Linked DNA regions of Diceros bicornis minor. The protein of the gene in region 2 interacts with the protein of the main gene of each other region in a pairwise test. Links are inferred from orthologs where the notes say so. Each region holds a gene or a part of one and is shown on either strand. Other genes may lie near its edges. The genes, in order: KHK and LHX9.

The links.
Region 1: the proteins of LHX9 (region 2) and KHK interact in binary tests that used the Homo sapiens proteins (3 or more experiments, as listed by UniProt). The two-hybrid records come from large-scale screens. The link is inferred for Diceros bicornis minor from reciprocal best matches to the Homo sapiens genes LHX9 and KHK.

Annotation. Positions count from the first base shown.
Region 1 is NC_080751.1:55,730,908-55,734,813, forward strand, and holds the start of KHK (ketohexokinase), read right to left. Parts: upstream 2,172-3,906; 5' UTR 1,656-2,171; coding exon 1,564-1,655; intron 1-1,563. Other genes in the region: EMILIN1 (EMILIN-1), read right to left, coding at 2,991-3,328, 3,747-3,884. UniProt on the Homo sapiens protein: Catalyzes the phosphorylation of the ketose sugar fructose to fructose-1-phosphate.
Region 2 is NC_080777.1:26,690,101-26,694,006, reverse strand, and holds the start of LHX9 (LIM/homeobox protein Lhx9), read right to left. Parts: upstream 2,644-3,906; 5' UTR 2,541-2,643; coding exon 2,367-2,540; intron 480-2,366; coding exon 277-479; intron 1-276. UniProt on the Homo sapiens protein: Involved in gonadal development.

The DNA.
Region 1 (3,906 bases), on a different chromosome or scaffold from region 2:
AAGATTATTGGGTGGAGACCAGTTTTTCTCCATCTTTTTGTTTGTTTCCTTTTTCTTTTCCAGCTTTATTGAAATATAATTGCCATATAACATTCTAGTTTAAGGTGCACAGAGTGATGATTTGGTATACGTACATATTGCGAAATGGTTACATTAAGGTTAGTTACACATCCATCACCTCACATAGTTACCTTTTTTTCTTTAGTTTTTCTCCATCTTTACTGAAAATCTAATAAAAGGAGACTAACTCAAGATACACCTGAAGGGCTTCATTGTCATCATCAACAACGAAAATGATAACTTATGCATACATAGTCAAAGCACTTTAATGATTTCTCATTTGTGCTCCAATAATACTGTGAGGTAAACAGTGCAGGCTGTTACTTCTATTCTTCCAGCTGCAAAAAGAATAATAATAACAACTGTGGCAGCTTACAATAAGAGGAGCAAGTACCAAAGAACCACTAATTAAGAGAAATAAATGAAGCGGAATTTTTAAGCTAAGGTATATTTGTACACAAAACTTAACCCTGAAGTTCCCTTCAGCCTTGGGAAAAGTATGTAACGATTCATGTGACCATGCAGGGTGGACCCAAAGCCTGAAGAATGCCCGGGTCTCTCCCCTCAATTAGCCTCATGGTTATTGGCGCTGCAGTGTCTTCCCCGAATCAATCTTAAACTAGCCTTTTATCCAGTTCTTGGCTGAGACAACTGAGAGCCAAGGAGCAATCGTTCTCAGTAGTCTAAGCACTAGACTGCACCAAGAGAAAGCCTCGTATTCTACACCAGAGAAATGCCTTCTTGGAATTACAGTGTAATGGTGTGATTCTCATCAAGAGTGAATATAAGAACCAACAAATGACTCTTCAGTTTCACAACTGAGAAGGATGTCTGCTATGTTGTCCACTGACTTTTGTAAAAAGGACTTCTGATAAACTCCTTTTGGAATTTAGCACCAGGGAAAAGCCTGTCGTGGCTCATGAACCACCTCTATCCATAACACATAGTATCTCCAAATTTGCCTGCAGTGCCAGCAAGCTCCGAGCTATAGTGAAGCTCAAATACCCTGGTTTTAAATGTTCTTCAACAGTCTAACTGCACATACTTCTCATCGTAAGCTACCTCAATTTTTTTTTTAGAAACAGATGAGTTATATATATGGTAAATAAATTAGAAGTAAACGCTAGTGAGAGGCAAGTGCACAGGTCTTGTTAACAAGCACCGTACTAGCTGCGCGCCCTTGGGGAAATCACTTCATCTCTCAGTCTCTACTTGCTTGTGGGTAAAATGGGGATAATAATGCCTGACACAGTCCCAGGGTTGAAAGGGGAACTGGTGAACACAATGCTATCCAAAGCCTGGGTCTTATTACTAAAGGCCCCAATTCTTTCCCCAGATCCTGGGCAGAGGGCACCGGGCACCGTGCACGGCTCCCGAGGAGGCTGAACTCGCACGGCCTCACTGCGGGGCTCCCGGCTCCGCGGCCCTGTAGTCTTGGCTGCCGGGAACAAACACGGGGCTGCAGAAGCCCCTGGGGTCTCCGAGGGGCCCGGGCGCCCCTACCTGCTATCCGTGTCCTCCTCCGGGTACTTGTCCACCACATTGATGATGTCCAGCACCACCAGCCCCACGCACAGGATCTGCTTCTCTTCCATGAGGCTGCTCCCGGAGCTTTCTGCCCAACTGGCTGACGGGGTTCCTCTCGGGCTCTGCCTCTTATCAAGGAGGATTGTGTCCCCGCTCCCGGGGCTGCCCTGGCTCCTCCTCCGCGTCCGGAGCTCCTCCTCCAGGGAGCCTCCTGCAGCGGCGAGGGGTGCAGCTGGGTGGAGGGAACGACGCAAGGCCCTTGCTCCCCACGCCCACCGACCCAAGCGGGCCTGGGAGCGCAGACCCCGAGGTCTTGGTCCCCGGCCTCCTCTTAGCAGGTTGCGTGACCCAGCAGATGACAACGCCTCCCACTTCTCGGCCTCAGTTTCCTCACTTGTCAGACGGACTCGGAGCTAATGCAAACCTCTCTAAAGCGCGGCCAGGCAACCTCATGAACGCAAAGAGAAAGTGCAATAGAAAGACGCCCCTTGCCCCGCCCTCTCCTCCACTGGCAGCTCCCAACCCAGACCCTAGACCGGCGGGGTTGAGCTGGGCCTCGCAGCTGCAGCCGGGACCCCGCAGCCGATGCCTCGGCTCGCGCGGTCGCGGCAGCTCCGCCCGCCCCCGAGGCCCGGCCAATCCCAGCCCGAAGCCCCGCCCCCGCCGCGGAGCAGCCGGGGCCCGCAAGGTGAGCGGCGGCAGTCACGTGACGGGAGACGACGCCCCGCGGCGCGGAGTTCTCGGCTCCCGACGCCCCCTGGCGGACGCGGGAGGAACGGGCGTGACGGGGAGCGGGGCCCGGCTGGGGCTCTCAGCAGCCGGCGCACCTCGCCGCCCGCGCGTCCAGAGCAAGCGTGGGCAGAGCCACCCCCAGCAGAGAGGTGGGGAGCGAGCGGGGTCCGGAACCCGGGGCTCCTCCCTCCCCGTCCGCTGTGCACTCCTGAACCACCCCTGAACACATACTGGAGCAGACGGTTTGTTTTGTTTTGTTTTGTTTTTTTTAGAAAAAACCAAGTGTCTTTATTCCTGAATAGTTTAGTATGGCGGTGGTGGCCGGAGCCTATCCGGGAGAGCCTTGGAGCCCAGGGAATCGGCCTAGAGGGCCAGTTTGGGGAGCAAAGGGCGTGAGGATCGGCTCCTCTGCAGTCCGGGTCCTGCAGGGGACCGCGATCAGGCCAAAAGTCTGGACGAGGGGACCCCGGAGTCTCCGACCCGGCGCGCTCCAGCCGCGGAGAGATTGTTCTGGTCGCCTGTGCCGCTGCGGGTCCGGAGACGGCGGCTCGCCCGGGGCTGGGGTGCCAGGACGGCGCCCGGTCCCAGGCGGGGACCCGGGAGAGCCCACCGCCCCTGCTGGCTCTTTGGCCGGCATAGACACTTCGGGCCCTTCTGGCCCGGCCCCCTGTCTACACCTGTTCAAGCTCCAGGTCCCCGTAGAGCAGGGCTCCGCTGAAGATGGTGAGCGGCTCCTCCGAGTGCGCCAGCTGCCCCATGACCAGGTCGATGCAGACTGTGTCCCCGGCCTGCAGGGGCAGGATGAGGCTGAAGACGCCCAGGGCGCCCGGGCTGGGCTGGCTCTCGGCCACAGGCTTATTTTCCAGGCCCTCGGGCTCGTAGCCACCGGAGTCGATGCGGGCCACGCCCAAGTTGGAGCGGGACAGCACAGCCTCGACCTTCTCGTGCCGGTGCCCAGTCAGCACCGCGCTCAGCAAGTAGCGGCCAGCCAGTGGCGCCGTGAATACACCTGGGGACAAGGATGGCAGTCAGGAGGGGGAACAGGTGGCAGGGACCAGGAAGGCATCGGGGAGCCCACCCAGAAATCCTGGACTAGGGAGGGACCCGCTAGGTCTTTTCCTCTCTTCCACTAGAATGTCAGCTGCAGGAGGGCAGGGAATTTGGGGTTTTGTTCATTACCCATCCCCAGCACTTGAAACAGTGCTTGGGCAAGAGCAGGCCCCCAATAAAGAGCTGTTGAACTTATGGCTCCTCCCCTCCCCACCCCACCCCTCAGCCCAAGCTATAGTGAGAATGAATAAGTGAAGGAAAGAACAGGGGTCTCGCCAAACCAGACCATGAAAAGAGTCACCTTGTTGGAAGGGGCAAGGAAGAGAACAGTCACGCTGGTTTCCCCCACTGCCCTGCCTGCCCGCTCCTAGGCTTACCTGTCTCTGGATCATAATAGCCCCCGTCGTTGAGCAGGACTCTGTCGAAGGGCACTGTGCCTGGTTCAGACCGGGGCAAACTCAGGGCAGCTGAAAAGGCCACCCGGGGCACAGAGGCTGCTGGTGCCCCCTCTACTCCTGGGTGGGGGTAGGGTGGGTG
Region 2 (3,906 bases):
ACTGTCCCGGATTTCTCCAGGTTCCCTCAACCCGGCTGCGCAGTGCGGGAGCGCATGGTGTGCACTGATGCCGCTCTGAACCTGGGTGTCCCTTCCACCCATCCTCACCGCCCTTCGGGGGACGGGGGTGCAGCTTGAAGGGTCTGCAGGGGTCTTCCCATGTCTCGGGATGATAACCTTCCCCGAACGGGCGAAAGGTGGGGCATAAGGAGGGGGCTCGGGCTCTCAGGTGGCCGCGCCAGGTGTACTGGGCGTAAGAGACAGGGGTGGGAGTACCTGTAGTAATCCTCCTTGCAGTAAATGCTACCGTCCTTGGCGAAGCAGGTCAGCTCGGACTCGAGGGCCAGCTTACATTCACAGCACTTCAGGCACCTCAGGTGCCACTGCTTGTCCACAGCCAGCAGGTAGTACCTGTCCGAGATCTTGCCCCCGCAGCCTGCGCACAGAGCGGGCTTCTCGGGGCTCAGCGGGGGCATGCCCTGCAAGGCAAGCAGACCGCGCGCTGACGAGGGCGCGCGGGGGCCGCACGGCGCGAGCCCAGGCGTCCGGAGCGCGGCAAGGGTCGGGGCCCCGGCGCAAAGGCACACATCGGGGACACGTTTGCAATTTTCCCCTTTGCGGCTCACCCCCTTTCTGGGGTGTCTGCCCCAACCGGCGTTCCGTCCTCCCGGGATTGTTCACCTAAAGAGAAGCCGGCCATCTCAAGCCTCTTTTAAAAAGGAGTAGGAGCGCATTGACTACAGTTTCGTGGATGTTTCTGAACTCGGATAATTACAGGCTAAAAAATGTGGCTTTCAACGCACACAAAATAAAACCACGGAAATTGTTATTGAGGAGTGGAAAGGAGATTTGAATGAGCACGAATTGTTTTTAAACAAACACTATTACAATTCTATTTCTCTACATTCTTATAAGCAGCGTTGAAATTAAAAGGAAGGGAGAGATTATGCCTGTGCTCATGATTTGGTCGACACTGTTTTGATCGGATATATTTGGCAGATCTACTATTCTCTAATTTTCGAGGATACTGGTCCTCTTCCTGGCAGGAGTATAAAGAGCCTGTTCCCCAGGGAGGGTTTGTTGTCCAGTGCCCTCGGTACAGTCCCTCTTTCCCTGGCATCAACACACCCAGGACATCTTTGTCCTGAAAATCTGTTTAACGCCCAAGCTTCCCGCCTGCTTCCCGAATGATGAGCCGAGGATGGGGAAACCTCACCTTGATGAGCCCAGCCCCACTGCGAAATTCGGGTTTGGGTTGCTGCTTTTTGTGTTTAAACGGGATAGCCACAAAAGAGGAAAAAAGAAGTTAACCGCTGGACATGTCCCTGAAGACTAGCAGAAATGGTTGGACTTCTCCACGAAACTTTGGCGGGCCTGGAAAAGTAAAGTTTCCCCCTTTGCTCAAACCAAGGGCCCGCACTGAATTCATGTTGCAAACGTGGAAAGATCTACCAACTGGGCTACTTGATGGAACCCCAAATCCCCAAACCCCCCTGACGTGCCCAGGCAGGCTACCAGGTGAGTTTGAGCTAGCAGATCCGGTGTGATGCCAAAGGATCTGCACGGCTCTGTTTGGCTGAAATCATTTCCAGAGAGTTTTTTAGTTTTTCCCCTCCGGCTGGTAAGTGGGAAAGGGAAGCACATAGATTATTAATTGGTTTTCTTTATTAAGCAGATGTGACTTTTATTCTTATGAATAGTAGTAACAGCCGCGGTTGATTACATCGTTTAAGGGTTAGACATTCCTCGCACTTGGTCTAGCTGCCCCGCTCCTCCGGGTTTTTCATTAGATTCCTCTACACATTACACCCGCCCGGCCCGGGAGCTGAACGCAATCCTGTCTCGCTAGAGGGGCCGAGCTGGGCTGCCAGAGACCCCGAAAATCATTGGGTCTGGGGGTGCCGAGCTCCAAGCTTCCGGAGAATCGGAGGTAGCCCAGTGACGTCCGAGTCCATTCCAAAGGTTCCCATCAGACCCAGAGACCAGAGTCCCCCGGGCTCCTGCTTGGCCCGGGCGCCCCGGCCGCGCGCAGCTCACCCTCTGGCCGCCGATACTCGCCGGGGAGGCCCGGGAGTCCAGGGGGCCGGAGCCCGGAGTCTGAAATCTGCAGGAGAGGACGACTCCGTCCTCTAACTCCCGGCTCGCCCTGTTCTCCCGGGAACCGCGGCGGCAGCGGGTAGCGAGCTCGGGGTCTCAGTAGTGGTGACATTTCGAGTCAGAAAGGGAGCTATTTCTGAGAAAACCCGCCCGCCAGCCTGGAGCGGCCGCCCCATGCCCCGCCATCCTCAACTCGCCGGCCGGGTTTTGAGGCTCGGCTTCCAGGGCGCGCAGGGGGCCGGCTCCCGCACCCCGGGGCCCTTCCTTACCGCGTCGCGGCCGTTGAGCTGGGCGCCTTTGGCCAGGCGGGCCTCGGTCTTGGATCTGCGCTCCATCTCCTCCATGATGCCTTGGATGTGGCCTCCGGAGATCCCGTGGAAGAGCATGGCTGGGGGGCGGAAAGGACACGAGTTGTCTTCTGCTCGGCACCCCACTATTTCCATATACACACGCCCAGGGCTCTCAGCTCATCCGAGTGCAGGAGCAGAAGGGACCGCGGAGTGCTGCGCGCTGGAGCAGCACAGAGACGCTCGGGGACCGAGGGCAAGAGGGAGAGGGAGGAAGAAAGAGGCAGACGGAGTGGAAATTGGTCTGCTCGGGAAAGAAAAAAAGAAGAAGAAGGGGGGGGAGCCCCAGCGGCTCCCTGAAGGAGATGTGCAGAAAACAAACAAACACGGAGGAGGGGAGAGCAGAGGGAGAAGGCGAATCTTACTGCTCCGAGAGATCGAGTTACTAATGGGAAACAACTGCAGCGGGGGAGGACAACAAAATCTGGTGAAGAAAGAAAGAAAATAGTTTTGAACACAAAGAAAGAAAAAGAAGTGCTATTTTCAGCGGTCCCTGGCTGCTCCAAGGTTCCCAGTGCCTGTAGGTTGGGTTGGGGACTGCTCCTGCCGTAGCTGTGTCCAATTTGTTAAGAGACTAAAGCCAGCCCATTTTTGATAATTTAGTAGGAGGAGTTCTCTCCCCGGAGCTGCCACGGATTTTTATTCAGACAACAAAGACCTGTCATACTCCTCTCAACCCCCTGGTGATGGGCGAGCGGGGACAAACATTACGGGGGGGGGTGGAGGGGGCAGGCAGGAGGAGGGGGCATTTACTTCCCCCCAACGCGCGCGCGCGCGCGCGCGCACACACACACACACACAACCACATATCCTTCCAAGAATTCCCAGCAATCACGTTTTAAAGGGGGAAGGAGCCCTTATTGTCCCTGCCCGGGTGCGGGAGGCAGAGAGCCGGCCTATTGGGTCCAAGTTCAAGATCAGACCCCGGCTCAAGACATAGAGAACGGCACCTCCAAACTTTGGGTTTCCTCTCTGTGGACTTTCTGGTCCACAAAACCAGACTTACGGGGACCCCAAATGAATAAATATTGGACGGATATTCCTCTCCTCCCCATCCCCTCTTCCTCAACTCACTTTTTAAAAGTAAATCGCCTTCTCTCCCCAAGCGCCCCCGGCCCTACCAGGGGCTGGAGCATCCCCCAAGGTGAAAAGCAGAGAAGGAGAGCCCATGTTTCTGGAGTATACTTTTGGCAAAAAGATTTTCTTTGCAAAATTAGTGTAGAGGACAGGGCATGGACTTGTAGGCGCGAGTATGCAACTGAACTATGACCATGGGGTGAAGTGTTCCCGCACCCAGTTCAGGTTTGCAGGAAAACTGCTGGCGATTCTCGAGTCCCGCTTGAAACTTGTCAATGTGGGCAGCAGCTCCGGGCCCCGGGGGAGCTCGGCGCCCGCCTCCGCAGGAACAGGCGCGCGCCCTACTGAGTGCTGTTCCCACCGCCCCGGCCGGACCGGGACTCGT